Linked DNA regions of Caenorhabditis elegans. The gene in region 1 interacts genetically with each later gene. Each region holds a gene or a part of one and is shown in the gene's direction. Other genes may lie near its edges. The genes, in order: let-60, lin-35, ksr-1 and sem-5.

Region 1 (8,088 bases):
AACGAGCTTGTAACTAAAAAATATTTTAAAAATAATACAAATTTCTAATTTAATATCTGACTTAGTTCCAAGAATTTAGTTTGAGCATATAATTTTCATGTTCATCTAGTTTCTATAACTTTTGCTTATCGCTTTTGCCAAAAAATCACAATCTCGACAAAAATCTTTTCAAAATTCACAGATTCTTCAATGCTCAAAATAATTAGTGAACTTTATTTCTTTGGATTTTTCGAAAATTGTTCCAAAAAAATAACAGCAACTCTTGAACTTCCTGGTTTTTTCTATTTGGTATTTCATCGTGGAGTACACCACTTTTAGATAATTTATCGTCGGAGTCAATCTCTCCATCACTCAGCGGTAGAGAACGTGTACTCGTTGTTGTCACAAAGAGAGCCAAGTTGTCAAGTGCATACGGCCCCCGACTGCGAGAACGACGACGACGACTAGGCCGAATGAAACTAAATTGAAAAGAGTTTGTCTCCGGGAGTTTCTTTCTTTCGACTCACTGTGCTCCATCGTCTTCTCTTTCCGCGCTCGTAGATATTTTTTGAGTCTCTAATTTTGGATCCTATTGAAGTGGGTGTTTTCGTTGCATATTTCAACATATTTTAATTGAAAGTGTGGCTTATTTCTTGTTGACAGCCCTATTTTAAAACTAAATATCACTAAAATTATAATGTTTGGTGAAAATTGTTCCAAAAAGTCACAAGTTCGTGTTTTCATGGCACATTTCAAGCAACTTTTAATATATTTTTTTTCCAGACTACCGAGGAAAAACTTTTATTTAAAAATACACTGTTGAGAATGGTATATTTCCATCATAATTTTTACCTACCAAACGTATTGAAACTGTGGAAAAGTCTGTGGAAAAAATGCCGAATTTCCAAATTAAATGTGACTTTTTGTGAAAATTCAAGACGTTATCGAAGCCATGTTTGAAAAAAGTTTGCATATCTAATATTATTTTTGAGAAAACTTGAAGTTTATAAAACTGTTAGATTAGTTGAAAACTAACCGTTTCGAAAATTCAATAATGAAATATCTGTTTTCAGGTTTTCATTTCCTCTAGTTGCTCATTTCAATATATTTTAATATCAAATTCTACTGGAAAGTATGTGTCATTTCTTGTTGACACCACTATTTTCAAACTAAATAAATACCACGATAATTATATATTTTGCAAAAATTGTTCAAAAAGTATCAAGTTTTCTCGTTCTTGGCATATTTCATGCAATTTGTAATTCTTTTTGTCTCAGTTATGTCATAACTTTTTCTAAAAATCCTAAGTTATTCTAGATTATTTGGGAGCAAACATTTTTAGAAATTCCCAAAGTAGATTAACAAAGAAAATTCAAATATAAATCTACTGGACATTCAAAGAAAAGCACTTAGACAATTTGAATCGAATTCCTCAAATTCTTGAACTATTTTTTAGAGGATTTCAATTGGACAGAAAGAATCTCAAGCACTTAACGTCGGCGGAAATAGTTTTTTTTTTTCAAAAAGAGACCACCGCCTTTGCTAGAAACGAAAATTGCATGCGTTCCATTAAATAATTCAATTCATCGTTATCACCATCCTTCGTCGTCGTCGTTATCGTCAGAAACAGATAGGGATGGGTCGATACAAAAAGAAAGTGGACAGTTCTTTTCTCTCACTCTTTTTCTCTTTTACAAATCACACTTGTTTCGTCTCACACACGCTCACTTCTTGTCTCTTCTCCCAACAGTCGTCGCAAAACCGTCAAAAGCGTAGCGGCTGTCGCGTCGCGGTCGTTCGTGTCTATGCATCACCGTTTCTAGTGCTCTCTAATTGTCCCGCCGTAGCAGTAGCAGCAGTAGCAGCGGCATGGTGGGGACCGCACTCCTTTATCTTTTACTCTTACTTTGTGTGTGTGTATGGGGGGTGCGAGAGAAAGAGATAAAAAAGAAAGAAAGAGAGAGTGTGTGGTTTCTGTGCTTCTGTGCACTCCAGAGCCTCGGATTTCTTTTCCTATGAACTTCATTTCTCGTCTCCATCATCAGAAGGAAGAAGAATTCTTCAGAATCTTGCACTTGAAGCGTTTTCTGCCTATTTATTTTCTCCTCCCGAGTTCATCTCTCTATTCGTCTTTAGCTTAATCCATTTTATTAGGCACGCACCCGCTCCTTGGTTCAACCAAATGAGAAGATAGAAAAGATGGAGCAACGCATCCCAAATTGTGTGATAGGATTAAAGTAGTGTGGAAGAAAAAAAAATGCAGAGTGAGAGAAGGGGCAGTCTTCTTTTCCGGTCTTACTAATCCTAACGTCTTCTTTTTCCTTCCTATCTCTCATCTCTCAACTTCTGAAATAGTTGAGATGAGTGATTTCGTAAGTTCATTATTCTTTTTTGTCAGTTTTTGCTTATAGTTCCTACGGGAATCATTGTTTCTTAAACATGCTACTTCTTTAAACAATTTATATTTAACAAAGTAAAATTGAACGTTTTTTTAAAAACTTTCTAACTGAATTTCGTAAATTTATTTGTTTCCTTGTGAAAAATGCTTGTCAGGAAAACTTTACTTCTCTACGTCTCAATCTCTGCAATCTTTTAACGAGAGATCGGAGAATTTTGTATTGGAAAAGTGAAAAAGAAAAATGAAAGAGACCCACTCGACACTGAGGGCGACCGAAAAGAAACCGACGAAAAAAAACGACGATTCGAGCCATTTGTCAGCGACAATAAGTGGTCGGGTCGCACCACTGTCCGCCGTCTCACCGATTTTAACATTATATTGTCCCCCTTTTTCTTCATCGCTTTGAAATCAATTTTTGATGAAGTGAAGACCTTTTTTCTCCTGGTTTTTTTTTTAATAATTGCATTACCCCATTTTTTAAAGTTCAAAATTACTCAAACTATTTGAATTCTTCTTTTTTTCAAATTGTAATGACTCATTCTCCGTCGTCTTCAAATAGTTACTCATTCCGACTCACCACCTAGTTTATTAACAGGAAAGTTCATTCTTTTTCTATCTTCTCAATTATTCTCAAGTAGTCATCATCGGTTTTTTATTTCTTTCCTGGTAGTTACTCTCCTTTATCGAAACTTTTTTTTGAAAAAAAAAAGAAACGGAATTCTGAGTATGCCGATAGGCAGAGCTGCTCTTTGGCAGTGCTCCCACAGAAATCCTTCTCCACTTCGTTTTCTCATTTCCATCTCTATTTTACATTTTTCCATATTCAACTATGCGTCTTTTTTCAGAAAAGGGTAATGACGGAGTACAAGCTTGTGGTAGTTGGAGATGGAGGAGTTGGTAAATCAGCACTCACCATTCAACTCATCCAGAATCACTTTGTCGAAGAATACGACCCGACCATAGAGGACAGCTACAGAAAGCAGGTGAGAAATCATTGGGAACATCCGCTACACACATGTGGTGGGAGCAAATTGAACGAAAATGATGGCATTTGAAATTGAACAAAAAAACGATGAGTCAGAAGTTTGGAAGTTTTTTGAAACACATCGAGCTGTTTAATTGATTCCAAAGACGAATAAATCGTGCTGAAACACGAAAAATTCCGAAATTTTCGAAAAAAAACCAATTTTTCGTGTTTTGGACACGACATTATAAAATGGCTGGAACTGAAAAAAATGGCTCGAATCATGATTTTTCATTGTCCCCCGAAAATTCTCACAAAAAAAAATTGGAAAACCGAAAATTTTAGTTTTTGCAAAAACCGGAAAAATTCTGAAAACACTCCAAAATCGATATTTCTCAGACGAATTTCAATAATTACATTCCGTTTTACGTTTTATACAAAAAACAGAAATTTCACTTTTTTTTTGAGAAAGGGCCCAAAACTTTTTTTTAGATTTTTTGTTTTTTTAAAGCAAATCGATAAACCAGCATGCCTGCTCGTGTCGTGTGAGGAGTATAAATTTTTTTAAACGTATATTCATCTTTAAACTCTGAAATTCAGAATATTATTGAGCCCTAATTTTCAGTGTTTTCATTTGAGTTTTTAACCAGTAAAAATAGTTTTTCAGTTTTAAAAATTGCTCCGAGAGCTAGTTTTTAAATATTCTAATTTCAGGTTGTGATAGACGGTGAGACATGCCTCCTCGACATATTGGATACCGCCGGACAAGAAGAATATTCGGCGATGCGTGATCAGTACATGAGGACAGGCGAAGGATTTCTGTTGGTTTTCGCCGTCAACGAGGCTAAATCTTTCGAGAATGTCGCTAACTACCGCGAGCAGATTCGGAGGGTAAAGGATTCAGATGATGTGAGTTTTTTTTGTTGAAATTATCAGTCAATGGTTGAATATTTGTATTTCTTCTAGGTTCCTATGGTCTTGGTAGGGAATAAATGTGATTTGTCATCTCGATCAGTCGACTTCCGAACAGTCAGTGAGACAGCAAAGGGTTACGGTATTCCGAATGTCGACACATCTGCCAAAACGCGTATGGGAGTTGATGAAGCATTTTACACACTTGTTAGAGAAATTCGCAAGGTAATTTTTTAGTTAAAAATTTAAATTAAAAATAATGTTTTTAATGTACAATTAAGGTACAAATTCAGTCATTATTATATGAAAATTGAAAGACGCGAGATTTTGATATTTTCGCGCCAAAAATACGACACCCGGTCTGTTCGATTTGCTCCTTCAAATATTATGGTAACTTTATACTGTCGTTACAGCGGAATTTTCATCAATTTTTTTAAGTTTTCGATATTATAAAAATATTTAAAAACACAGCAGTTTTAATAAATCGGTGAAAATTACCCCAGAAACGAAATATTAAAGTTACTGTATTCTTTAAAGGCGCACATACGTTTGCATTTAACACAAATTCATCGTGTCGAGACCGGGCACCGCATCTTTAATTTGAAAATCGCCAAATGTTGCATTTGAGTAATACAAAAACGTTGTTTTTAAAAATTTTCTGTTTTGTAAAGCTCTAAAATGTTATTATTGTTATCAACAGTTTCAAGTTTCCATTTTTCACTAAAAACGAAAAATGTAAGTTTTTCCGATATTTCGAAACAAAAGCTCAAAGTTTTGGTCATTTTCTTAATTTTTAAAGAAAATTATATGTTTTCTTTTGTTTTTTTTCTCACCAGCATGCACAAAATCTGATAAAAAATTGAGTTTTATTGTTAATTTTCTAAAAAAAATTTTGATGACACCCTAGATTGATATCCGAAAGATTTAATAATGTTTTCTTTTTATTTCAGCATCGTGAGCGTCACGACAATAATAAGCCACAAAAGAAGAAGAAGTGTCAAATAATGTGATTCAGCGTCGGGAATTGCCCAATTTCGCCAACTCATTTTCAGTCGTGTCAACTCCCACCCAATTATCCTTTCTCGTACTTTTTTGGTACATTTTCATTATTCATTTATCTGTTTTATCTGAAACTTGTGATCGATCCTCTTCCGCCTCTACATACTCTTCGAATTTCCACCTTTTTTTCTCTATGCATCGATTGAACTTGTTCTCTCGTCTGCTCGTCATTATTTTTTCTCCTTTTTTTTCTTCATCCTTCATTCTAATTCCTCATCTTTCGCTTAGCCCAAATCTCCATTCATTCATAGGTGTCAAAACTAGCTGTAGTGTGTGATCCATATCTAAAACATGCATCCGAACCCCCTCCTCGTTCCAAAATTGGCCAACTCTACCAAAAAAAACATCGCACCATTTTTTTTTCACTTTCTCTGCATATTTTCAGAATGTTTGTATTGCTTTTTTGATGCTTTATTCCCCTTCCTCGTTTTCATACAAATTATTGGCCTCATCTATTTTCAGAAGTTCTCTGAAAATTAAATTCTTTTGCATCTGCCGGTCGTTCCGTTTATTTTTTCTCTGTTTCCTCTCATTTTTGTCAAGTAATTATTTCTCTTTCATTAACTATAATATAGATACAATTAGACCCCATTTCTCATACATTTTCTGAACATCTGAAAGTTTTTGCTCCCTCGTATTGCATTCATTTTTCTCTATTCCTCTACATTTTATAGTCCTATCTGAATATAATATTCCTATTCTTTTGATCAAGTTTTTATTATTATTTTATTTTCAAGGAAGTATTGCAATGATATAAATTTTAAAAAGCTAATATTATTTTTTTAAATCTATTCAACTATATTTTGTTAATTTCAGTGTTATATTTTGACCTCGCCATCGGAGCATGATTTTAAAAAAAACTAAATTTAATTTATTAGAATGACGAGAAAAAGGAAAAATGTAGAGTCTGATGAGAATCCTCCAGCGAAAAACTCATTTGAAGGATACGGATATGCTGCTGCTGATGCTGAGAAGAAGCCACAGGAGGAGAGAAACAATTTCAGAACTTTTCTAGCCAAAAATGAACGATTTGGAAGTGGAAATCGAGGTGGAGGAGGTCGTGGAAGAGGAGGAGATGGTGGATTTAGAAGAAATGATAGAGGTGGACGTGGTGGTGGTGGAAGAGGATTCGGTGGTAACAGAGAATTCAGTGCCGGAGATTTTGAGAAGGTTTGTGTCAGATGGTGTCGTGAGTGATGTAGCGTCTCTGGCTTTTTAAACTCAAAATTACAGAAAAAGTTTCGATATGTCGAGTTAAAAACATTTCTAAAATTTGTATTATTTTGCAAAAAATAAAAAAAAGCCGAATTATTTTTGAATTTTTTAGTCATTTTCCTGGACAAAAATTGTTCAAAATGTGGAATTATAGGTTTTAGACCAATTTCATTTTATCGAATTTCGTTCGGATTTTCGAGGTTTCTTTCCGAAAAACTGTCTGAAAAAATGAGCGCGGGAATTCACAAATATTTCAGTATTTTTTTGAAATTGAATTTTAAAAAATTTATATTCGATATATTGAGACTTTTTTCTGTGAAGAATCGATAAAATGAACTCCAAAGCGCTCCCTAGGCAATTACCACAAAAACGTATATATTTATTTAATTTACAGCAATACGGTCGAGTTGGCGGCGGTGATGACACGAATTCAGGACAACCGGATAGCTACGGACAAGCTGATTCGGCTTCATTCAACGACTCTCGACCAGATGGAGATGGTCGTGAATTTCCGAAAGAAATTGTTGGTTATCTGAGAAGTATTGAACAAATCAAGAAGAAAGAGGGAAAAATTGAAGATTTTATTCTGGAAAAGTGTGCTGAAGAAGTTGTTGGCCAGGAGAAAACTCTTCTCTCGTGGACAGAAGCAGCCGTTGTTGTTGAATCTGTATTTGGAAGTTGTCCTAAAGGAGCAGCTCTCTTCCTTTCATCGATTTCTCGTCTCAAGCATAAAACATTAGCTGAGCTGATTTTCGGAGGAGCTAGTGCTAGGACAATTGAAAATTTGATATTCTCGATGTGCCCAATCGCCGAATCAGAACATGTGGAGATTCTTCAAAAACTAGCAGGAATTCTTATGGATAACTGGGCGGATGCTGTTACAACACAACCTTCGAGTTTTCTGATTCGAGCTATTGTCTGGGTGTGTTGTGGATTGTCAGCAAGGCCAAAGGTTGGAGAGGAAAAGAAAAGAAATTACAAAGGACAAGAAATGAAGGCTAGCTTGAAGAATGTTTATGAAAAACTTGCAATCTTGGCATTCGATGAGAATCTTAATAAAACCTTTATGGATTCTCCGATTTTTGTGACACTATTTCAAGATTTTATTGAAGCCGATGGGCTTTGGGGAGACAAAAGAGGTGATGAATATGTGAAGAAGAAGCTCGAAAAGGAAGATATTGAAGGAATCTCGAAGGCATGGTATTCATCAAATGGATCTCGTGTTTGGGATAAGCTGATGGAAACTTGCTCAGAAGATGCTCGAAGTCTTTTATGGATTGAATTTTGCAGTAAAAATGTTGACGAATTGACAGATAATCGATTCTCAAACTTTCCTCTTCAAAAAATGATCAATAGCTCAACATCGTTGGAAATGGTCACTGAAATAATTGAAACAATGGCTCCAAAGTGTTCTTCTCTGCTTGAACATCAGAATTCTGGTGTGTTCCTTTCGGTTATCCGATGTGCTGCACGATATCCATCATCCGAGAAAACCATGCTTCAACAACTGAGAAAATATTTCCGCGCAGCTTCAGAGGCAAAGAAAGGACAATTTTTACTC
Region 2 (7,613 bases), on another chromosome or scaffold:
TAGTTCGATAGTTAATGGAAGAAAGTCAAGTCCAGGAATCACATAGCGGCAGGTTGAGATTTTTCGAAAATATCTATCAAGAGCCCGGACGACAATTGAACAGTCTTTTGCATCACTTGATGATAGAAAAACTTTTGAAACCAAAGCATGCAGAGAATTCATTTCCGTCTGTAAAAAAACTTTAATTTAATCCAAATCGTTTTTAAATTAACAAACCTTCAAAACCGTAATAAGATCTTCTCGTTTATCCTCAAATAATCGATCATGAGTTGTTGCAATCAGAGTGAGATTTGGAATAAAACTCTCAGAAGCTTTATCAACGAGATCCAAAACATCCGAATGATTTGCTGATAATTCTTTCAAATCTACTCTTAAAGATTGTTCTGAACACGTGAGCAACACTTTCTGAACTTCATCTTCATCTCTTCCAATTGTTAATAATAAATCTACAGCTTCTGATACTAATTCTGCACCAGAAGCCGGATTTCGCAGTTGATCCATTAATTGATTTTCCGTCATATCATAAATTTTCTTACTTTTTTGAAGAACTAATTGAACTGTTGGAACGTCTTTATACTGCGATAGTGACTCTTCTGCTAATTTGAACATTCGAAGAACTTCTCCATAGTTTCGCTCATCGAATTCACTCTGGAAGTTGTTTAGTTTGATGCAATATGAAAAAAAAGTTTTAAAATTAAAAATGTTACCCGCAGAACATGAGGAAGATCGAAAATATGCTTCAAACTATTCACAACTTTATACGAGCTTCCCAATTGTAGAATATCGTCACGTTTTTCGCCCAAAACTCCGTCAAGATTCCCAATTAGAGTCGATATTGTCGACATACTTCGGCTGAGAGATTTCATTTCCTGAAAATTAACATTAAAATTGTCTGATTTTATTATTATTCGAAAACTAACAGAATCGAGTTGCGTGAATTCATCTTGTATTTTTCGAACCGTATTTGTCGCAGTCAGAAATTTATTGTAATTTTCGTAGACTATTTGATGTACATCTGAATCAAGCCTTCTCACAGCTGAAACCATCTCCTCCTCTTCTTTTACTAATCCATCAAGCGACTTTTCACGGAGTAATCTGAATTAATAATATTTATCAGTGCATATCTCTGAAAACTAACTTGACGACAAATGCTTCGACATCAAAATCCGGCTTTGTGACGTCCAAAACACTAGACATTTTACATTCAATACTGAAAAATTAAAGAAAATTCAGGAAAACTCGAGAATGAAAAAAAACAGATTTGAGACACCATCAATACAAAGGGAACGAAATTTGGGGGAAATGCTGGTTGCCGAAAAAATAAGTAGAAGGTAAGATGTGTTCAACTGGAACATACATTTTCTGAATTGCAAACTCGATTTCTCTCACATTCACAATTTTTAATCACATTTAATGCTTCAGTTTTAGAAAGTTCTGAAGTATCCTCTTCTTCCTATTCAGTTTCTCAAAATCGATGGTGTCTCCAGGACGTGCACAAATGCGCTCTATTGCGAATTGTGGAACATCATTGCGCGCGCGACTAGAAAAAAATGAGCGCGTTCTTGAAAATTATTTTGCTTTCTCTAATTTTAAACGATTTCGATTACATTTTATCTGAACTTTCTTGGGTTTAATCGAATAAAAAACACAAAAATATTCTTCAGACTGGTAAAAACTTCTTCAATATGCCGAAACGAGCAGCCGATGAGCCTGGAACATCAACAACTGACCCATTTCACGAGCGTAAGCTTTAAATGATTTTATTCAAAGCGTATAATTATACTTGTCTGGAAAGTGAGGCGTTATCAAAGCTAGTTTCTCCGCCGCAGTGAATAGAAAAACTGATTAATGCAATTTGCGCAGGGTTCGATTTTTTCGAAATTTTTTAAACAGCGTTCAAGATTTTACTTGCCTTTCCATCAGGGAGAGAAATTTTTTAGAACTCAGCCTCAAATTACCGCAAATAAATTTAGATATTAATTGATTTATTTTCAGAAAGCCCATTCGATGCCGTGTTAGCCGGCACGGAGACAACGGATACAATATGTGAAGAGCCACCAGCAAAACGAATCGACTTAGATATAAAGCAAGGTATGGGGTTTTATAAATATTAAATCTGATTATTTTCTCCTTTTCAAAAATATTAAACAAAAACAAGGGTTTGCAGCCTCATGTGATAATCTAAATGACTGCTTTGTTTTACATATTAAGAGCATCCTTCGTTTTTCCAATAATTTTCTCTATGAAGATAGATATTCCCCAGTTCATTATCACCTTTATCACAACTCGCTATCATCTCCTACTTATATAGGAAATTATGAAGTTATCAAGCGCTCAGTCACCTGACTAGTTAAGAGGTCACTAACAACAATAGCTACCAATCAAGCAACATTTTTATTATTGCACACAACCACGAGCAAATGTCAAAATATACATAGAAGACAGAGTGAAATCTATTGAAGAACGTCACTTCGGACTGTTATATGTCCTGGTTCAACCACGTCACTATATGCAGGCGGCCGAGAAGTTGCACGTGGTCGGGTTGGATCTTCATCATTTGTAAACGCCGAATTGTCAGCTCCTGTTGGTTCACTCTGAAATTGTTACAGAGTTTTAGTGATGTCATAGGGAAAGAATTTTAGAGCTCATTCTGGCTCGAATTTGCTGGAAATCGGAGGTTTCCCAATAATAACCATTTTTCTGATATTAGTATTACTTTTTCGACTACAAGCGCTCCGTAACAAAATTTAGCGGGTTATTTGAAGTTAATTATAATCGCATTAAGACGTATTTATCTAATGCAGCTTATAATATAGAAAGAATAGCTTAGTTTTATATTATTGATTAATGAATAGTCGTTGAAACGGATTTCATAAAGCTTCAAAAAATTTTCAAAACTCACATTGGCAACTGTCAAAATCGGTGTCGATACGAAAGAACCACTCCTCGTTGATGCCGACGTCGTCGAACTCTCGCTATCAACAGGTTGTTGTTTTGTAGGAATCGGAGGAGCAGTTTGACTTGACATTGGTGGGGCGTAGGCGGTATATCTTGGTGGTGGTGGCATACCACTGGGACTCATTGGTGTTGGTACAATGTATTGAACATTGTAATTTGACGCCTGATGTTGAGGTCTGAACCATTGAATGAATATTCATAATTGAAATAATGGACTCACAATCTGTATGCATTTCTTCTGAGGAAGTTGTAGAGAATCATCATATATCGCATTTGGACGAGTGCAACAATAATACTAACAGTTAGGAAGAAACATGAGATTATAACCATTTCTAATTCTCCAGTTGTCATTTTTGGAACACATCCCTTCGCAGTGGTTACATCCTTTTGGTTATCTTCAAATCAGTTTCTTTATTCCGGAAAATTGTATTGAAACTAACCTGGATTGCAAATGTTATCATTGTTATCCGATAAATAAATACATGCAATAACTGCTCCCAGGATCAAGAAAAACACCCAAAATGTGTACATTGACTGAAATTGATAATTATTTCTCAAAGTGTATATTAACGAGAATATTGATGCTTCCATAATTGACTAGGAACATCGAATCTTGTGAGTTATATTTAAAACGTACTAGATATAACATGTAAGCAGTGATATAGGCAATTTTTCTACGCTTTGCACCAGTTGATAGAACAAACATCATGGCGCTTCCAATAGAAATCTCGAAAACGTAGAGCACAAATGGAGATGGATACAAAAGTCCGAATATTTGACATATCATGAGAATGGATCCGAGAATTCCAACAGCTCCCTGAAAAATGTTCAATCCTTGCTGAGATTCAAAATTTCTGAACTTACACCAATTGGAAGTCCACAAAATACCCTTGGCTCCGGTTCAGCAGCTATCCGCTGTGTTGGCTGATGTGGTTCAGCCCGTTGTTGCGGGTGCTGATACGGATCCGTCGTTTGAGAAGACTCGGTTGTCATGGTTCTTCTGGAATCAATACAATTTTCTTGGCTTATATGGTTTATAAATGCATTTGTGTGTGTCTGAGTGTGCCAACAAGAGACCTCTACGAGAGAAAAGAAAAGGAGAAGCAGAGTCGGGGAGGTGACATACGACTGATATGGTCGATGTCACGACAATATGATTCTCTTTTTCTCCCCCTTTCAATTCTTCATGTGTCGGTTGAGTAAATATTGCATGAAACTGTAGAAATGAGGGCATTGGGAGATAGAGAGAGGGACGTTGAAAATAGAGAAGAGCACTAGAATCAGCTGAGAGTATGTGGAGAAATAAAGAATGATAAGAACGTTGGAAGAAACTAGAACAATTTTGGCAGCTTAGTTTCGTCGTTACTTGATTTGTCACAATTAAATATGGATAAGTTGAGAATCAAGGATGCCAAAAAATATTTTTGACAAAAAAAAACAAAAAATTTCTTGTTCAAATTTCGTACCAAAAACAAAAAAAAATTGGATTTTATTTTTCTCGCGATTTAAAGTTAAAAATTTCGAAATTTTTTTTTGGTTTTTATGATATTTATACAATTGTATTTCTATAGAAATACCGAAAAAAAATTGGTGACTTATCGAATTTGTTTTAATTGGAAAAATATAATGGATTCAATTCGTTCTTTAAAAATTATTGGAAATTACTTTAAAATTGAAAAAATTGAAATTTTTTTCATTAATTTAAAAACTGACATCCTTGGGTCAATTCATTGCCATCTGGATAAATTTCCTTTAATATTGTAAATCATTGAGTGTTTCCAGTTGTGTAGGTCTCACTATGAAGAAACTATGAAAGAGGAAAAAGAAAATATAGAAAACCCATAAAAGTGGGAAAAAAACGGAAATTCGTGTTCTCCGTCGAAAAATATCACAATTTATGGGCTTATATGTGTGCGGGACAATGAATTCAATGTAATATTATTACTATGCACATCAATAAATTCAAATATAGCTGGTATCCACTCTTTTGGGTTTTTTCTTTTCGATATGCACCTATGGGAAAAGTATCAAATTTCAAGACAAATCAGTGGTTTTGTTCACGAGAGAATTTGCCTAGTTTCAGAAGGTTTATGAAATATCAATTAGTATTAAGAGTACACAAAATTATAGGATTTTTTGTTGAAAATTTAAAATGGTGCTTCTCCGTTTAAGATATATTTAACAAAAAATCTAACAAAATTAAATTGGTAAACGTTGATATAAAAAATCAGAAAATTGGTTTGGCATTTCAGAAAATATTTCAAGATGGATCAATCGTACTTGTTAACAGTATCAATTTTAATTTAATTTAATTTTTTTTCAAAATATAATAAATATGTTTAAAAATTCATTGATAATAAAAATTAAACGTTTTTCATAAATCAAACTTCGAAACATTTTCATAAAAAGGTAGCACAAGCAATAAGAAATGTTCTTATCACAGTCAACCTAGATGACATGAAATATTAAATGATAACTGTTTTCAGAATTCAATGGTGGAGTGCAAAGTGGAGGGCTGATTAAAAATGAATCCGAATTGACTCAAATGACAATCAAACAAGAAACAGAAGGAAACATAAATGAAGCTAGACGAGAAGAAGAAGACGAAGAACAAGATGAAGATTCCAGAACATCAATGCCACCTGCATTGGGAGAAGATGATGATTATGAGGAGGATGATGCTGATAGTTTTATTGATAAAACTAATGTAATACTATGTTTCTTCTAGTTTTACAACATAATATTTAAAATTATACGGAAAATGATGCGGATAATTTTAATTTTCATCAACACTTGAAAAAGGAAGTCTAGGACTAAGATTTTCTAAAAATTATATCAATGTCAACCTGAAAAGTTAATATCATAATCAGAAAAAAGTATTTTTATTAAACGAAAAAATGAAAAAAAAACCCCCTTTTTGCCCCTGATTGCTCAAATTAAAGTATAAAAAAGAATTTTAAACTTTTCAGACACCGCCACCATCACAATCATTTCTGGAAGGATGTCGAGCAGCTAATTTACCAAATGACATTGTTACTGGTGCATGGGAAACGTACAACCACGCGGTTCAACGGGTTTCTCTTGAGGTTAATTGAGTAGTCAACGAATGCGGGGAAGGGGTTTTTTCAAAACAAACCACTACTATATAATGTAAAAACTGAATAATTCAAGTAGCACACATAGTGAACACAAGTGTGCCTAATTAGAGCTTTCAAAATATTTTTATGTGTTCTGACAATTTTTCATTTCAAATGGCTATGAAATTTTTCACATTAAAAAATAGATATTAATCTGAAAATAGAATTTACTCTGCTGCTTCTTCTAGACAATAAAATAATTTTCAGGGTTCGGAATCGGCGTGGCAACTATCAGCAATTTACTATTATCTTCTATCAAAAGGAATAAAACGTCGTGGAAAAACAATCCGTATTCTCATTCAACCGTTTCCTGTTTCGATACTTACAATTGCCAACTCATTTGACATATCCGTTGCTGAAATGCTTGACAAAACTGCTCGATTTGTGGAAATTATACATTCCAGAAAAATTCGTCGTTATCAAGAATATATTCGACGAATTCAAGAAGGACTCGCAGTTTCTTGTGTGATATTCAAAAAGTTTTGCCGAATTTTCTGCAAAATATTCGAGGAGATCAAAGTTGGATCCGAAAATTGTCCATCTTCTCATGAACTTTTTACGGTTCTTTGGACATCTTTTCTGGTGATGAAAAGTCGAATGACAGTGGACGATTTGATTTCAAATTATCAACTTCTTTTTTCAATACTTGATCAAGTATATACCGAAATGTGTTCAATGAAAGAGGGAATAGTTCATCATTTGAATCAAAAATTTGTTGAAGATCTTCTTGAAAATGATTGTACGATTATTCGAGCTCTTTGCACACAATTTGGTGGAAGTGTTCTTGATGCACGGCACTTTTCTGATCATACTTTTAAGAAAATGGAGAAGACTGGAATTCCGTCCACTTGGAATTTTCAAGAGTTTCGAGATTTGATCATGTACGTTTTATTAGAAAATGTAATTTTAAAAACGAAAATAATACTTTCAGGAACGTTCCAAAAACGGCATATGAGAATTATCTATTGCAACGTGGAAGTATTGATGAGCGGATTTTCATTCCAAGCGTTGAGGACTTTTCAAAAATTTTCCAATCCCCGGACACATACTCAGTAGCAGATATTCTCAAAGTGTCTTACTCTGGAAGACGTTTCCGTGATGCAGAATTTCTTACAAAAATCTCAAATAATCATTGTCTGGAAAAGTTGGCATTAGGTGGAAAAGTAGCATCAGAAAAGTTGGTAACACAGTCAAAAGAACAGCCGAGAGTTCCGTGTGTTGAGTATAATCTCGAATTGGGAAATTATCCAGACGATTTGGAATCGAACAATCAAAGTCTTTATAATAGATTGACAAAAATTATTGGAAGCTGGAAATTGGAGAATTCGAAACTCGAAGAGTAAGTAGCGAATCTATTTTGCACAAAAAAAAGACAAAAAAGACTTTTTTTTCGGAATATAGTGAAATATGAAAAAAAGACAAGTGAAATATGAAAAAAAATGCTTCGATGTTCTTTGATGACTACAAATCAGAAGTATTTATTTCAGAGTGTGTGGCACAATGTCCGACAGTCCAATG
Region 3 (7,753 bases), on another chromosome or scaffold:
GTTCAGCCTGGTTTTATCCAGATCACACGTATTATCTTCATTTTTAATAATAACAAATTAAGAACATTTTCCTAATTTTTTAAATCAACGGTTAGTAATGTTTCCAGCTTAATGTTTATTTATGTCTAATCTCATCGTTTTGCAAAAATTGGTTACTTATGGGTTTCGTTTCCCCAGAATGTTTTCAAACCTTGTAACGCCCAAAATTCCAATTTTACAATAATGTTCAAACACAACAAAGCTTCAGAATAATGTAAAGCTTCAGAATAATTTTCCATTTGCAGTTTTCAGAACAATTTTTCAGAATTCTTATTTTCAGTTTATTTTTGCATATCCCATTTTTGTCTTTTTTTGCTTTTACAAATGCAGTAAAAAACAACTGAACATTGCTTAATGCCCTTATATGAATAAAATATTAAAGTATCAACTTTCCTTATTATTTGGGATTCTGATCTCAGCCTGTAAGCAACCTCCCGCATTTTTTTGTTATTCAGAATATGAAATGACCAAATTGCTCTCTTACAAAATACTCAATTCAACATTCAAATTCAAAATGAGTTCAATGTTTCATTAAAGCTCAATATCACATTCTCATATAAAATGTACACAATACACGCACACAATAGACTTCTGGTAGCGGCAACCACTTTGAGTGCACGTTTCCGGCCAAAATGGCATGGATTTCTGAAACTGGAGCCAACGAAATAGGAATGCATTCTCTTAGGCTTTCCACCTTTTGTTCGCTCAATGTTCTGATTTGAGATCGCAATTCAATTTGGTTAGTTATCGCGACTGTGTCATGAGGAAATCATGCAAAAATAATAATAAGGAACTCATGAGTTCATATTTTTTAGAATTGGACACATTTTTTCACAGCGGAATTCCGGAGGACGAAAGCTTATTTATTCATTAATAGAAAGTGTTCAATTATGTTAAAGCTATTTTAATTTTCAAGTAGTATTTTGAAAGCAGAAATTCACAACGTTTTTTGAAACTTTAAAAGAAAATATGATCATATTTTCCTAACAAGAAGGATCTATGGTAGTTCAAAATTTTGAAGAGAAAAGTCAAAATCTACATCATATCTTGTTATGTCATTCTTATGTGTTACAGGGGCTCAAAATCAGTTTAACCTAATTTTCACTCTTTATTGCATATATTAGTTGTATATTTTGTGTTTTCTTTTTTTCTATTAGTGTTCCGCTCAATTACTTTATTTTGACAAGTTATGTCTTGAATCGATTTCTAGTTTTCCGAAAATGGACAATTAAAAGTATGTAGATAAAGATACTGTACATTTTTGTTTGATAACAATTTTCCATAAAATTAAAAAATAAACAAGCTATGGGTTTCCAAATGTAAACAGACTGAGACAATACTAATAGAGAAAACAGGAGAATTTTAGTAAATGTCCATTCGAAAAACCGAAATTGGTTGCCTGTCAATGCACATCCAAATTCACGTCTTTTATCATAAAATTTGTAATAAAGGACTAAAATCAATGAATAGTGATAGTTCAACAAAAAATGTTTGTTGTCCGCTGCGACGCGTATAAATTTGTAAACTTTAAATTTTTCTGCTAAATACAATCGGTTTTCATTTTAAACAGCATTTTTTGAGAAGTCTCTTTTTAAAACACAGTCTAAACATTTTGGTCCATTAGTCGTCTTTTAAAACGTAATTGCTATTACTTCAGTACTTATATTTTACCCTAATTTTTGGCTAACTTTACCATAGTTTTTGGCACGTTCAACAAACTACCCATAATTACTTTCAAAATTTTCATCGAGCAGGAACAACATTTTTAATGTTGACTTTGCCGAGATGTTACACTAAATTAGTTGTGATCTGCCAGCAAACCAGGAACTAAAAGCTTGTTCAATGCATTCCTGGTATGAATCTTGACCTACTCTTAAGTTGATTACGCAACATTTTGAACACCTGTTGTGGTCTTCTCATTGCGGACCATTTTCTCTCACCCCATAGACATACAGTCTCCTCTCTCTCTTATTCATACACTATTCCCCCCATCCTCCCGTCTTCCCGACATTTTTGCGTCCTTTCCTACTATTCCTACTGTCAATCCACACCGTTCTCCCCTTTTCTCTTCATCACGTTCAAACAGTTTGTTTGCTTGCACGCCGATCTTTCTTCCTCTTTCTCTTTCCACAACTCTCAGCATTCTAGCATTATTTTCTCCAATATATTGAACAGTATTTGAATGCAACGTTTCTTTTAACTTCCGACCAAAGCCTTATGGCAATTTTTTCTCACAACTACTCTTTTCGGTCGGCATTGCTTAATTTTTAAGCGCCATACTGTTGTTCGGTATTTCATGTGAAAGCGAAAAATTAAAAAAGAAAGAAAAGTTAAGCTTCCTAATTTTTGTATTTGTGGTAGTTTTAATACGCAAAGCTAGGAAAATGTAAAACTCAAATTGATAAACTATAATTACTTAGGAGTGATGATAAAGGATAATCGATTTTTTAAGTGAAATAGTTGAATATTTCTACTCAATAAAAAAACACATTTAATATTGGTAGAGTACAATTATTGGATTTGGAACAGTATTCTAATTAAAGAAACAAAAGAAGCCAAAATAAAAGTAGAATGCCATTGAAAAAAATCGGGACATTGTGATGTAATAAGTCTAATCTAACCACCGGAAAAGAAAATGTGGTCGAAAATACCAATTCTTCTTTTCTTCTCGTCACTTCTAAATTGAGTAATGTACATAACCTGTCTCATAATTGTTCGCCACGCAACCTTCACAATTTCGATGGCAGAAAGCCGCCGAAAGCTTTTAATTTACTTTCCGGACGATTTCGACTTTTCTAGAAGGTTAATACACACCTTTTTTGAGTAGATGATGTTGTAATAGTAAACAAACTGTAAGCATACTTATATTGGTCATCGCAATTTGACTTTGAATTGTAAACATCCAATTGTGATGGAATTTGTAGGAAGAAAATATTGTAGATTTTACTAACTCATGAATTGAAATTTCTGACTGTACTGTGGGGCATACACATATTTTCTCTAATTGTCTTGCTCCCTTACAGTACGAATGCAAACCATACTAACAGAAAAAACTCGGCACTTTTCAATATTACTTGCTCGTTTGCTTTTCTAGTCATTTAACGCCTTTCTAAAGCACCAAATACATTCGTATTGCCCTGCTCCCACTACCACACATACATAAACGAAGGATGAGCTCACAGGGAGCCATTTGATAATTGCGACGACACACACACATACACAAAATGAGAAACCAAGCAAAAAAGAGTGTGGCGCACGTGTGAGCTCACAGCGTGCTCCGTTTGCACCGGGGATTTCCAAAAGTTGACCAAAAACCAGCACTGTTTTTTCTTGGCAACCTTTTGAACGTTGTGCTCAACCAACGAAAGATTTATTTCAGGGAAAAGATCCGGAGAAGGTAAAAACTAACCAATAATATCAATACACAGAATGATGCAAACCCAAGTTGCATCACGTGCGGGATACAGTAATCTACCGCAGTTTGGTGCAGGAATCGCACAGGATATAAAGACACAGGCTATAAATAATTTGAAGGGTTAGTAAAAAAAATTTAAAAAAAAACAATTCGAAGTTGCAGAATGTTTGAAACTTACCACTATCAATCGATTTTTGACTTCATCATACGAAGAAGATGCAAAAAGTGTAGAAGTAAGTTTTTTTGAAAAAAAAACAACTTTTGTAAAAATTCAAACTTCTCCTATTCGTGAGCATCGTTGTTTTATAAACTGTAAATAAATGAATTCAAGACAGACTAGTCTTCATTCAGCAGAAAAAATTTTTAAGATGCTTTAAAGTTTTGTTCATAAAATACACTATACATATATTGACACCTCAGTCCAAATTGTTTTAGATCTTTGTGGTAAACCAATCTGTGGTACTAAACGTTTTTCTAGACGTTTTCCGTTTATACTGTAAAGTTTATTTGTATAATTAAATTCTATAATGGTATTTTGATAATAAATTTAAAAAATTAAAAATTTAGATGCACAACTTCGTGCATGAAACGCTAATCGTTATATTTGAAAAACTGAAACTTACTTTCAAACAAATGTTGATTTTCAAATGTTTTAAATTTAGTGAGTTTATGATATTTTGAATATGAAAAAATATCAAAATATCAAAGCTTTTAAAAAATAGATTTAAAAACTTTAAGTGAATGTAACTCTTTTTTTCTACGAATTTTAGTAATCAAGATATCAGAGACAGATGAAAAGGTGAAACAACCTGAAACAAATGGTCTGAAATCTTTCATTGACGTCAACTAAATTCCAATGATTCTCAATTTACAGCGCAAAATATTCTCGGCCGTTTATCAAATGACAAAAATTGGTTTGATTGATCGCGAGAAGCGTGAGATCAACGCCATTTGGTTCACATTTGTCGGGCTCAGCGCACAAAACATTCGGCACTTGGAGATTTGCTCGATCACCGATTTCAATGCTCTGTTCAGCATCACTAACCAAGAGGTTTGATCCTTCTCTTTTTTGCTCTACCTTTTCTCTCTTTTCTCACACATCATTTCCTGATTTTACACCTAACAGAAACATACAAACACTCACAAATCGGGTTCTAGGCATATCTATATCCTTCTAAATGTCTTTCTGCTGATTCGGGTCACAACCTTCAACATTATCGTTTTATTCTTAAACTTCTTTTCATTTCCCTCTACGCTTCCCATTGGTTTGGGGTGTTTGGGAGTGCGCTTTGACGCTCTTTCCCTCTCGTTTTTCCGTTTCTGTTTCCGTCTCTTCTTTCTTTCTTTTCACCTTCTACTTTCTGCATTTCTCTCCTTTCCTTTCCCACTCTTCTCTTTCTCTAGAGGCCAGAAAACTGCAGCTCTCTCCGTTTTTTTCCTGATTTTTGTGAGCTAATTTGTTATCCAAAAAAAGAAGAGTAAACAGAAAAAGAGGATTAGGTTAATTGTTACCTATTGATATTCTGCTCATTGTTGTTTTTTAAGACTCACGAACTTTCTCTCAGCTAGCACATGCATAAGTCATGTATCTGACTGATTTTTATCATCTCATTTCGTAATTGTTTGAATTTGAGTTTCGACTTTTCATTTAGTCATTTTGCAGCAGGAAGTGTTTTTCGAAATGAAATTTGTCTTACTTTTATCTGACAAATCAACTAGTTTGGTAATTTTTCAGATTTAAAAATTTCCTTTTTTTCATTGAAGATTTTTTTAAAACTTGATTTGTCAAATTTTTTAAGATAACTTTACCATTTAATTTACAACAACATTGAACAAATCAATTGTTAAATTTGAATTCGAAACAAAACTTGAAAACTTCAAGTGGCCTTTCATATGATAATTGGCCAAAATATTAGAGTTGATTTTGAATGAATGTTTTTTGTGAGAACAACTATGCTGAAGCATTTCTGGAACATTCATTGTTTTTAGCGATCCAAAGCATACACGTTTTTGTTTTTTTGCATTGCCTCCGTATACTCGGTAACGTCATTCGTGTTCCAACAACACCTGTTACATTTCTACGAGTTGTTTTCACTCTTGTCTGCATGTTATCAAACTTCTATTGCTCGTTTCATTACTTTTAACCGAGTTTCTCTGTGCTCCGCCTTCTGAACATTTGAACCCAAACATAAAAGTTTATTTCAGTTGCGATCGCTTGCGGATCGTGGTCGTCTTGATGTGGAGACCAAACGAAAGTTGCTTCAATCTACAGTGATTTTACAAAATCACTGGAACGGTAAGTGTGCGGCAATTTGAAAATTTGTATTAAGTAAAATGTAGAAGAAAATAATTCTTGCCACGAAAATTTTGCAACTGTTATTTTTTGAAAATGTTCTCAAAATTCCTTACTTTTCTAGTTATTTTCATAAAAATTTATAGTCTCAAAACCAGTAATTTGACATTTTTTAATCAAACTTTAAAATTTAACTTTAATCAATCCCGAGATGGTAACTGCAAAATTAAAAAAAAACAAGACGGTTTTTATTAAAACAATTTTGAAGCATATTTTATACTGAGTTTGCTCCACTTCTTGAAAATTTAAATCACTGTCAAATGTTCAAACCCCATACATTTTAAAATTTGAATATTTTGAATGTAATTGAAATAAAAAATGGAAAATTTTATGATGGAGGACTTCCGCAAAAACTGGTGACCATTTAGTATTGAGCTTTTTGATTTTAAATAAAAAAAACTTTCCAAAGTTTTTGGAATAATTTTATTATGGTATATTTGATTATTTTTGTACCATAGGAATGGTTTTGAAAAACTTCCCCCGCAGATCGGAGTCCGCCTTCAAACGTCGTTTTCGGTTTATTTGTTAATTTTAGAATTAATACTTTAAGCAGCCTGAGAATTAAAAAATCAACCTTATTCTTTTATTCAAATTAAAATTTTTAAAATGTAGTGTAATGATACACATTGAACCAGCAAATTTGACATAGAAATACCGCACATCTTTCAAATGTTCTCTATGGTTCATCTACTTCGAAAAAATGTTGTGAAAATAATTTGTTCTTAGAATGAAACCTTTTCACAAAATGTTTATGGAATTGTTTTATTTTATTTAAAACATGTACAATTAATACAATTGATGTAATTTTGTCAGGAAAAGTGAATTAGATCATGTGATGTTTAATCATTCAGTTTTTGCAAACGTTCATGTAAATGATATACGGTATCAATTCAAAACAAACATCAGTTCATCTACATAAACTAAATCTCAATTATTTTTAGCGTATCACAGTCGCACATCAAGTGGATCCACTGACGAGCCGTCAGGACAGTCAACACCAGCAATTGTTACGCCAAGTCCGAAGTTTAACGTTCCTTCACTTTCAGTCACAAGTGCCAAAATGATTCAGTCATCTAGTATGGGATTTGGTTAGTTTTTGAACTTTCAAAAAATAGCAAACAAAAATTTTGCACTGCGGTTTTGCAATTATTCATTCTGAAGCAATTCTCGCAAGTGTCAAATGAAAACTTTATGAGACGCACATGTGACAAATGCTTAGCGTGAGAATATTAGTTAATAGTTGGAAGACCAGACTGACTAATTTGCCAAAAACATTGAGGAGTGGGATAAGCTGTCAGCTTTCTAAAAGTTGGATAGTTGAGGCTTTTGGTTGAAAATGCAAGTAATATTTGATGATAGAATTTTGAATTACTGATAAGTTTGAGATACTATTATGTACAAAAACTGAATTCAAAACTAGGGGTCTTTGCAGAAGAATTGTTGCAAATAGTGATAAAATATTTTTTTACAAACAGAAAGCAAAACAATTAACATTTTTGTTGGTACACTTTTCATTATTTGAGACAATTACAACGATTTTCGGGATGGAAAAAAACTTTTTTGCGACAAAGCGTTTCAAATTCTCTAAAAAAGGGTTATTCATCTTTGAGACTAATTGGCTTTAAAAAAATTCTATGCATACCATCATACGGCAATTCAAGTAAAAATCAGCCGTTGAAAATTTACTCAGTGTAATCCTGGCTCAAAATCTCAGACGGAACAAGAAAATGTGTGATAAACATACTAGTTTAAATGTTTTACTAATAATTGAAGGTAAAATAATATTTTTGAAAAATTTATAAAAGAAGCAAAACTTTTTGACGAAATTTGGCCTTTTTGGCACGTTAGTACTAGTTAATTTTGAAAAAAGTTTTCATTTAAATATCACATTCGAATAAAAAAACAGAAAAAGTTATTAAAGTGAAAAATGTTCTAGCTACGACACC
Region 4 (7,612 bases), on another chromosome or scaffold:
ATAGCGCGCTGACCAGCCACGAAAGAAACTCCGCTACTTTTTCTCATAAATTTTGCTCCTCCGAAGAGAGCTCCTATCTCGCGGCAACTATTTGAAATTGAATAGTCGTCGCTGGTGGCCACTCCTCGCGATTATTATGTTTCTCACACTCCATGTGCATTCTCGATATTTCATTTTAGAAGTGATGTACATTCGTTTAAATTTATATTTGCATATGAATAGTTTAACACTGCATGCTCCATTTTGAATCAGCATGCACTGCAACTTCAAAAAAGTAAAACTAGTACTTTTGTTGTAGGAATAAATTTTGAAATTAGTAAAATAGGTGCAATATGAAACCAGCAAGATTCATTCTTCTCGACATCCCAATAGTATCCATTATTCACAAGAACCCTCCATTTCTATGTGTTCAAGCAAGGCCCCCCGTATACATTACGCACTAGTGTTGAGAGTGATTCATCTCGCATCCAAACCAAATCATTCTGGAGTGCGCATTTCAACACTTTTTAGCTAAGCGTGTATGCATACACAGATCGTTGTCAATATAAGTTTTCGGAAGAGAAGAAGTGACAGATGAATGTGTCTGTTTCTGAACCGAGATGATGAGTAATCCCCTAAGCATCCATTCGTTTTCTTTCTTTCGATGCAGAGTTCCATTTTCTGTATGAAACATTATCGTTTTGTTTTTGTGATAATGTACAAATGAAAATTGTTTACAGCTCGTAAAAATCATAATATTGCTCTTTCTAAATGAATTGTGTACCAATTAAAATTGCGTTTCTGGTGATATCGCCCTCCCTCAGTAAATAGAATAAAACTTTTAATTTAAATTGTTTAATTAAAATTTCTGGAGTTCGATGCTAAAACGTTTCTTTTACTAACGCAAATTTTCAACATTTATTCTGCACAATTACAAGATACTAGTTTTATTGTTGTGTCGAAGTTTTTAATCAAAAAATTACATAAAATTTTAAAGAAGCATTTTTAGTTTTTTGATAATAACCTTTTTCTCATTTCCAAAGAATTAGGAAAGTGTTCAAAAACTGCCTCAAAGGCGCAATCCAACAATATTGAAATGGGTATTTCGTGAGTTTATCTAATGTTCCAAGAGAAATATGTCGCACATCTTTGAGGCAATGTTTTCAAGCCTCTAAATGAAGTGAAACCCTAAATTTAAAATTTGGGTTAAGTTTCTGTTAACGATACAAATTCAGAATGTTTTACTGAGAATGTTAATCTATTCGGTAAATCGGCGCCACTTCTCAACCAACTTTAGCCATTTTCTAACTGTCATTTGCAAAAGTGGCAAAAGTTGGTTAAACAGGGTTTTTACGCTCTAAGCAACTAGAAAAAGTGTGTGAAAGTTGACGAAAGTTGGTCGAGAAGTGGGAAGTGGTGGAAATCTAATGGCAGTTAGAAAGTGGCCAAAGTAGGTTGAGAAGTGGCCACGAGTTGCCGACTACGGAACCTAGTAAATTTATTGACAAATCAGTCACATAACCTTGCTCTTGGAAGTTCACACTGTAAAACAGTGAGAATTTTCAGAAAAGTTATATGGATATATTTAAAGAACCAGTGACAAAATTTAATATTTTGGTTCTTAAAAAAGTTAATTTCAGTCATATATTAGTTTTACTATAGATACTGTTCTTACGATTTTGTATTAGTCAGGTAAATACACATTTGTCAAACTAACTAGTAGTAAATACAGTTGGTTTCCAGCTAGAAAACACTATTCCTTATTATATTTACGTACACTCACCGATTAAAATGTCAAGTATTTATGAGTAACTGTCACAGGTTCGATTATCTTTTTTATATCGGTTAAATTATAGTCTTATTTCGTAATTTTCATTAAATTTTTTAACTGCTAAATAATTTTCCAGCAACTGAAGTTCAAAAATTTGATTGAAGTTGCAATCTATTTATGTTTCCTATCTAATTTATCATCTCTAGCCCTATTTCCGAAATAGTTTTCATTTTTATTTTTGAAAAGAGAATCGGTACTGACTACCCAGCACACCCAAATGTTTTGATTTCTAGACGGTTAGTCACCTCAGGCTGGACAGGACAAGGTGGGAGTGTGTTTGTTGACATTCTTCTAATCGATGAATTGCAATACCCAATGCCTTGGAGCATTTTCAATTTGATTCTTTCTTCTTCGTTTTCTCGTGTTCTCTTATCACTTTTCATTTGTTCTTTTCCGTTTCTCCGGCCATTCATTCAAAAGTGTAAGAAAAGACGTGCATGATGACTGCTGATAGCGTATCGCACTTTTTTCTCTGAATCTCCATTTGAAACCATGTAAATTACAGAACTCATTGCGGAAAACAGTACGGTCCGGCCTGCCCAAACTCGCCGTTGTTTTTGTGTGTGTGTGGGAGAGACAGATAGAGACAGTGCGAAGATGGGAGAGAAAAAAGAGACACGAAGAACGCGTGATAGATTTGGAGTATTAGAGAAAAGTAGTGTCGTAGCATTCGGCACATTTAGTGTTGCATACAATGCGCCGGAATCGACGACACTTAGTGTTGCCCCGGTTTGTTACTCTCCGGTTTCTACTGTTTCCACTGTTTCCCCGTTTTCACGTTCAAACACTCAACTAAAACCACCTCAATCACCGAACTAGTGACCCTGCGGGTTTTTATTTTGCGTTCTGCGTTTCTCAATTTCATTTATCCTTCTTTTTTCTCGCCGGTCCTCTTACTCATCTCCTGTTACAATTTGCACTACGCTCTTCTCATTCTCATTTTCCCTCTCAGTTGTTCCTCTATGCTTTGCCGCTAGATTTTTTTATTGCTCTAATAATTTTTCATTGGCGCCGCGCGGATATGTCGATATGTAGATACAGTCTCTCAAGCAGGCCAATTTATTGACAACAATGTTTGTTCAATGTACTCTGTTATGTTTTATTTTGGTGTTAATTGTTTCTGAAGCTGCAAAGAGTATATTTCAGGTAGCGAGACGATGGAGGCGGTCGCCGAGCATGATTTCCAGGCGGGATCACCTGATGAGTTGTCTTTCAAGAGAGGAAACACGCTAAAAGTTTGTTCAACAATATCATAACCGGGCCCTGATAAAATCAATAATTGCAGGTTTTGAACAAAGATGAAGATCCACATTGGTATAAAGCTGAATTGGATGGAAATGAAGGATTCATTCCTTCTAATTATATTCGTATGACTGAATGCAATTGGTATGTTCGGGAAAAAATAGTTTGACTTTTTTGAGGATTTAATCTATAAGCTTATATTTTAAAAATCAGTCGATCTTACTTCTCGCGGTTTTTGTTTGTATACCCCGCAGCTAGGGCGCGAAGAACTGAGAACGCTTGCGTAAACAATTTTTAAAATTTCTGGATTTTTAGGTACCTTGGTAAAATAACAAGAAATGACGCAGAAGTATTGCTGAAAAAGCCAACCGTACGTGATGGTCATTTCCTTGTCCGACAGTGTGAAAGTAGTCCAGGAGAATTTTCGATCAGTGTTCGGTAAGAAGATGTTATAGATTTTCAAAAAGTTATACATTTTTTTCCAGATTCCAAGATTCTGTACAACATTTCAAAGTTTTGCGTGATCAAAATGGTAAATATTACTTGTGGGCTGTCAAATTCAACTCTTTGAATGAATTAGTTGCTTATCACAGGTGAGTCACACTTTTTCAAAAAAAAAGTAAAAAATCAATAATTTTCAGAACCGCTTCTGTTTCGCGTACTCACACAATATTGCTGTCAGATATGAATGTGGAGACTAAATTTGTACAGGCCCTGTTTGATTTCAACCCACAGGAGAGTGGAGAGCTAGCTTTCAAAAGAGGAGATGTTATCACTTGTAAGTGTTTTTGAAACACAAATTTTCATGATTTTAAAATGTTCAATTGAAAGTTTGAATCAAAAAATTCTAGGTTTAATTGAAAATGGTAAAAATGGATATATCTTGGACTGTATTTCGAAAATTTTGAAACTATTCACTTTATAGATCTTAAAACAAGAATATTTAAGAAGAACCATAAAAATAACAAAAAGGTAATACAAAGTACTAGGAAGATAATATGAGACGTCTTGCTTAAACTAACTTTCACTGGAACAAATAAATGCACGTATTGAAAATCAGTTGTTAGATTAGTTTTTGTATAAACTCAAATTGAAATGAAAAAACTCTGTGGCTATTATTTACTTTTCGGAGAAACATTGGATTTCAAGATACAATTTGCAGCATTATGAATGTTCACAACGTAAAAATAGAGTTAATCGGTTGATCATCTATTTGTCGGGGTTGAGCAACCCCGAAAAATAAAACATTTAGAAAATCTCTTATATTTTATTTTCAGTGATCAACAAAGACGATCCAAACTGGTGGGAAGGACAGCTGAACAACAGGCGTGGAATTTTCCCATCCAACTACGTATGCCCTTACAATAGCAATAAGAGCAACTCCAACGTGGCTCCTGGCTTCAACTTTGGAAATTAGGACGTTATTTTAGGATTTTTCCTGTCTCTGTTCGTTCTTTAAAAGGAGCGTTCAATGTTTCTTCTATACCATTTGTTCTTGACATAGTAGTCTAATAAGCCCTCTCTTACTTAATCTCCAATAATAATCACTAAATCTTGTCACAAACACACTTTCCAATGCTGGGTATTAATTTCACAACTTTCTCAAAACTGAGATAAGTTGTTCGTGTTTTACATGTAGACCATGAATTTTCAATGTTTTTATTCTTTGCAACTTGGAACTGCCATTGGCAATGTTTTATCGATTTTTTGTTCGGTTTCGTTGGCAATGATACAATTCTTGTTGTGTTATCAACAGCCTTTTCTTTCCCGCTTTCTTCCAACCCCACACCAATTCTATTACGGATCTATTAAGCGATTAGATACTCTGACACAATACTCAGAGACTGTTCGCATTTGTTTTTTTTTGTGTTCATGCAATTTTTGTCATAACTATTTGCCATTTCTCGTCATTGTCTCTCTTTTTCTTTTGACATTTTGCAATTCATCCAAAACCAATACGATTTTTCGTTCGGTGCTACATTGTTCGGTTTTATCACAACTCACACTGTTCTGATATAGTTTTATCACTTCATTCTATTCCTCCGGCTCAATCTCTTGTCGAGAGCATCATGAAGCTTCTCTCTGCCTCCCACTTTACTCGCCGTCTTGCTTTTATATCGAATTTGTCAAGTATTTTCCAATCCCTTTGTAAATCAATGAAGGTTAATAATTATTATATTAATCCACTTTCTATAATTTTTACAGAACATAATTTGTAGATGCAAAGTAGTTTATCTGGAAAATTTTGCATGTGGAGTTTCCTTTAATGACATTTTCACATTTTGCAAGCTAGTTTGAACAAAATACTCAGACATTTCGAATTTTAATAAAAGTCTTCTCCGATTAGTTTTAAAGTTTATACGGCTCTAAAAACGAAATTAAACCATTAGTTAAAATTCTATAACGAGTCAATGATAATAATTAAAATGAGCGTAATGGGTTGTGAAATCTTTTGTCAACGGAAAAGGTGAAGTGGTATGTTTTTCGAACTTAAAAATCAATTTTTTTTCAACCAAAAAGCGCGCCGTCTTTACTTATTTCTTGGATATACCAGATAACAATTTATTCTAAATTTTAAGTTATTTTTTTAAATTATAATTTGTGAGTCTCAAAAATGCAATAGTGCTCTCAATTTTTTTAAAGCAACGTTAATGTCTTTTGCTTTACCACACCTTTGATTAACAATTGAATTTTGAAAGAAAACGTAACAATATAAAGCCGTATATATTCGTTGTTTCGTGATATCACGAATTTACAGACCGTTTTATAGTCTCAAAACGACAATTGGAAGCTTGATGCTCAGTTGACGTAATTATATTCCATGGAAAACATTTTTTGCATTGAAAACCTTTTAAAAATTCGCAATTTGAAATGTATGCAAGTTGTTTATGAGCAAAATTGGCAGGATTTAAATTTCCAAAAGGAGTCGGGCTGAATTTATTTTGATGAATACGGAAAAAACTGCAACGTGCAATTTAATTGAACATGTTTCACCTATTGTTTTAATTATGCTCAAAAAGAAAAAAAATAAAGTAAATTTTTATTCCTTTTTTTAAAATAATACTTTTGAAAACCTCAAACGAAACGCAAAAAGCAATCATGTTTCAAGGGCACTCGAGATGAGCCAAACGTTTCTATGCCACGCAAAAGCCAAGTCAAGTCTCGTTTAAACACGTGTGCTCACTATCCCTGCTCCCTTTTCGTATTTTGTCTGCACCTTTGCAACTGCCAGTCTCACTCGTTTATGTTTTCGTCCTTCTTTAAATTTAGTATATTGGTTTTTTCCCATTGATTATCTTTCTAAAAAAACGTTTTTTTGTTCAGCCAGGCATGGCTTTTGACCCAGATCAGCCACGATATGATCAATCAACATTTTACGGCCGACTGCGGCATTTCGCTGGAATGACAGATCCACTGATTGCATTTTCTTCAACAACAGAACTCATTACTGCATCGGAGTTAATGCAAAAATGCAGGTATAATTTTTTTAATATTAGGCTGTACACGTAAAACAAATTGAATTTTTGATTTAACCAAAACATTTATTATCAGAAAAAGTTAAATTACATATTACAATAGCTGTATTTTTTCTTAAGTATTTAGAGTGAAATAACGGATATAAGAGCTTTAAGGGTCTGAGTTTGAAGTAATTCAAGCAACATTAAAAATTTCACAAAATTTGTGTTAAATACAGTTTTGTAATATCTTTGAAGAAATTTTTTCAAAAATAAAAAAAACGTTTACAGAGAGAAGAAGCCAGTGCCGGCAACACTTGAGGAACTTCATCGTTCGCAACGTCTGTGTCAATCAGCTTTTCATCCGGATACTGGAGAACTTCAGAACTTTGCTGGAAGGATGTGCTTCAACGTCTGGGGTGGTACAATGCTGTGTGGTGCAATGATGATCTGGTAAGTGAAAAAGTATTGCTAAAAGTAAGCTAAAAGGTAAAAGTAAGTAAAAGTATAAAAGTAAGTAAACCAATTACTGTTCCAGGTACAAATCGACGCCAGCTGTAATTTTCTGGCAATGGGCAAATCAGTCATTTAATGCACTGGTCAATTATACCAATCGAAATGCAAAGAGCACATTGACAACAAAAGACTTAGTTGTATCGTATTCTACAGCAGTGTCTGGAGCACTGGCAATGGCAATTGGGCTGAAAACATATTTTGCTAAGAAACAGAGCAGTCCTTTGGCTCAACGATTAGTACCACTGGGAGCCGTTGCAGTGGCTAATGCTATTAACATCCCTATGATGCGTCAGAAGTGAGTACTTATTAGAGAATAATCAGTATTTTTTAGTTTCAACCAAGTTTTTAAATGTTTTTAATCCGAGGTTAACTTTGTAGCCCTGAATCTGAAAGCTTTGAAATTTAGGAGTACAGAAATTTAAAGTTTGCTTTCTTATCAGTGATTTATTTTGAAACCCATTCAAAATTAAAATCAAAACGTAAAACTCCTAAAATCATTCCGCTTTTGACTTTTTTCTTATATGCAATAAGTTATTAATAATGAAGAGAGGTCAATGAAAAACTGGATTTTCTAAAATAAGGCTGTCTA

What was found.
Region 2: of let-60 (region 1) and lin-35, changing one enhances a phenotype caused by changing the other (phenotypic enhancement), as found in Caenorhabditis elegans (2 studies listed by BioGRID).
Region 3: of let-60 (region 1) and ksr-1, changing one enhances a phenotype caused by changing the other (phenotypic enhancement), as found in Caenorhabditis elegans (2 studies listed by BioGRID, with this or other methods).
Region 4: of let-60 (region 1) and sem-5, changing one enhances a phenotype caused by changing the other (phenotypic enhancement), as found in Caenorhabditis elegans (2 studies listed by BioGRID, with this or other methods).

What each region holds. Positions count from the first base shown.
Region 1 is NC_003282.8:11,686,221-11,694,308, reverse strand, and holds let-60 (Ras protein let-60), read left to right. Parts: upstream 1-3,220; 5' UTR 3,221-3,231; coding exon 3,232-3,360; intron 3,361-4,055; coding exon 4,056-4,250; intron 4,251-4,307; coding exon 4,308-4,478; intron 4,479-5,203; coding exon 5,204-5,263; 3' UTR 5,264-6,082; downstream 6,083-8,088. Other genes in the region: ZK792.12 (CidA/LrgA family protein), read right to left, coding at 382-458, 507-516; ZK792.5 (Nucleolar protein 9), read left to right, coding at 6,192-6,482, 6,922-8,088. UniProt on the Caenorhabditis elegans protein: GTP-binding protein with GTPase activity. The level of let-60 controls the switch between vulval and hypodermal cell fates during C.elegans vulval induction. May stimulate the guanine nucleotide exchange factor (GEF) activity of rap-1.
Region 2 is NC_003279.8:5,806,045-5,813,657, forward strand, and holds the start of lin-35 (Retinoblastoma-like protein homolog lin-35), read left to right. Parts: upstream 1-1,664; 5' UTR 1,665-1,685; coding exon 1,686-1,743; intron 1,744-1,995; coding exon 1,996-2,091; intron 2,092-2,376; exon of another isoform or gene 2,377-2,453; coding exon of another isoform or gene 2,454-2,594; intron 2,595-2,902; coding exon of another isoform or gene 2,903-3,134; intron 3,135-3,178; coding exon of another isoform or gene 3,179-3,353; intron 3,354-3,398; coding exon of another isoform or gene 3,399-3,492; intron 3,493-3,595; coding exon of another isoform or gene 3,596-3,775; intron 3,776-3,822; coding exon of another isoform or gene 3,823-3,951; exon of another isoform or gene 3,952-3,958; intron 3,959-5,444; coding exon 5,445-5,665; intron 5,666-5,927; coding exon 5,928-6,044; intron 6,045-6,302; coding exon 6,303-6,976; intron 6,977-7,026; coding exon 7,027-7,434; intron 7,435-7,582; coding exon 7,583-7,613. Other genes in the region: vps-51 (Vacuolar protein sorting-associated protein 51 homolog), read right to left, coding at 1-168, 217-648, 708-869, 921-1,095, 1,139-1,197; C32F10.4 (uncharacterized protein), read right to left, coding at 2,454-2,594, 2,903-3,134, 3,179-3,353, 3,399-3,492, 3,596-3,775, 3,823-3,951. UniProt on the Caenorhabditis elegans protein: Key regulator of cell division which acts as a transcriptional repressor and negatively regulates cell cycle progression in its active unphosphorylated form, but allows cell cycle progression when phosphorylated.
Region 3 is NC_003284.9:8,271,751-8,279,503, forward strand, and holds the start of ksr-1 (Kinase suppressor of Ras A), read left to right. Parts: upstream 1-3,418; 5' UTR 3,419-3,468; coding exon 3,469-3,574; intron 3,575-3,616; coding exon 3,617-3,687; intron 3,688-4,328; coding exon 4,329-4,505; intron 4,506-5,659; coding exon 5,660-5,750; intron 5,751-6,748; coding exon 6,749-6,895; intron 6,896-7,743; coding exon 7,744-7,753. UniProt on the Caenorhabditis elegans protein: Serine/threonine-protein kinase which positively regulates Ras-mediated signaling probably acting at the level of let-60/ras or/and lin-45/raf. Involved in sex myoblast migration.
Region 4 is NC_003284.9:7,957,068-7,964,679, reverse strand, and holds sem-5 (Sex muscle abnormal protein 5), read left to right. Parts: upstream 1-2,956; 5' UTR 2,957-2,967; coding exon 2,968-3,045; intron 3,046-3,095; coding exon 3,096-3,196; intron 3,197-3,367; coding exon 3,368-3,490; intron 3,491-3,537; coding exon 3,538-3,645; intron 3,646-3,693; coding exon 3,694-3,830; intron 3,831-4,329; coding exon 4,330-4,469; 3' UTR 4,470-5,227; downstream 5,228-7,612. Other genes in the region: sfxn-2 (Sidoreflexin), read left to right, coding at 6,383-6,528, 6,799-6,960, 7,046-7,318.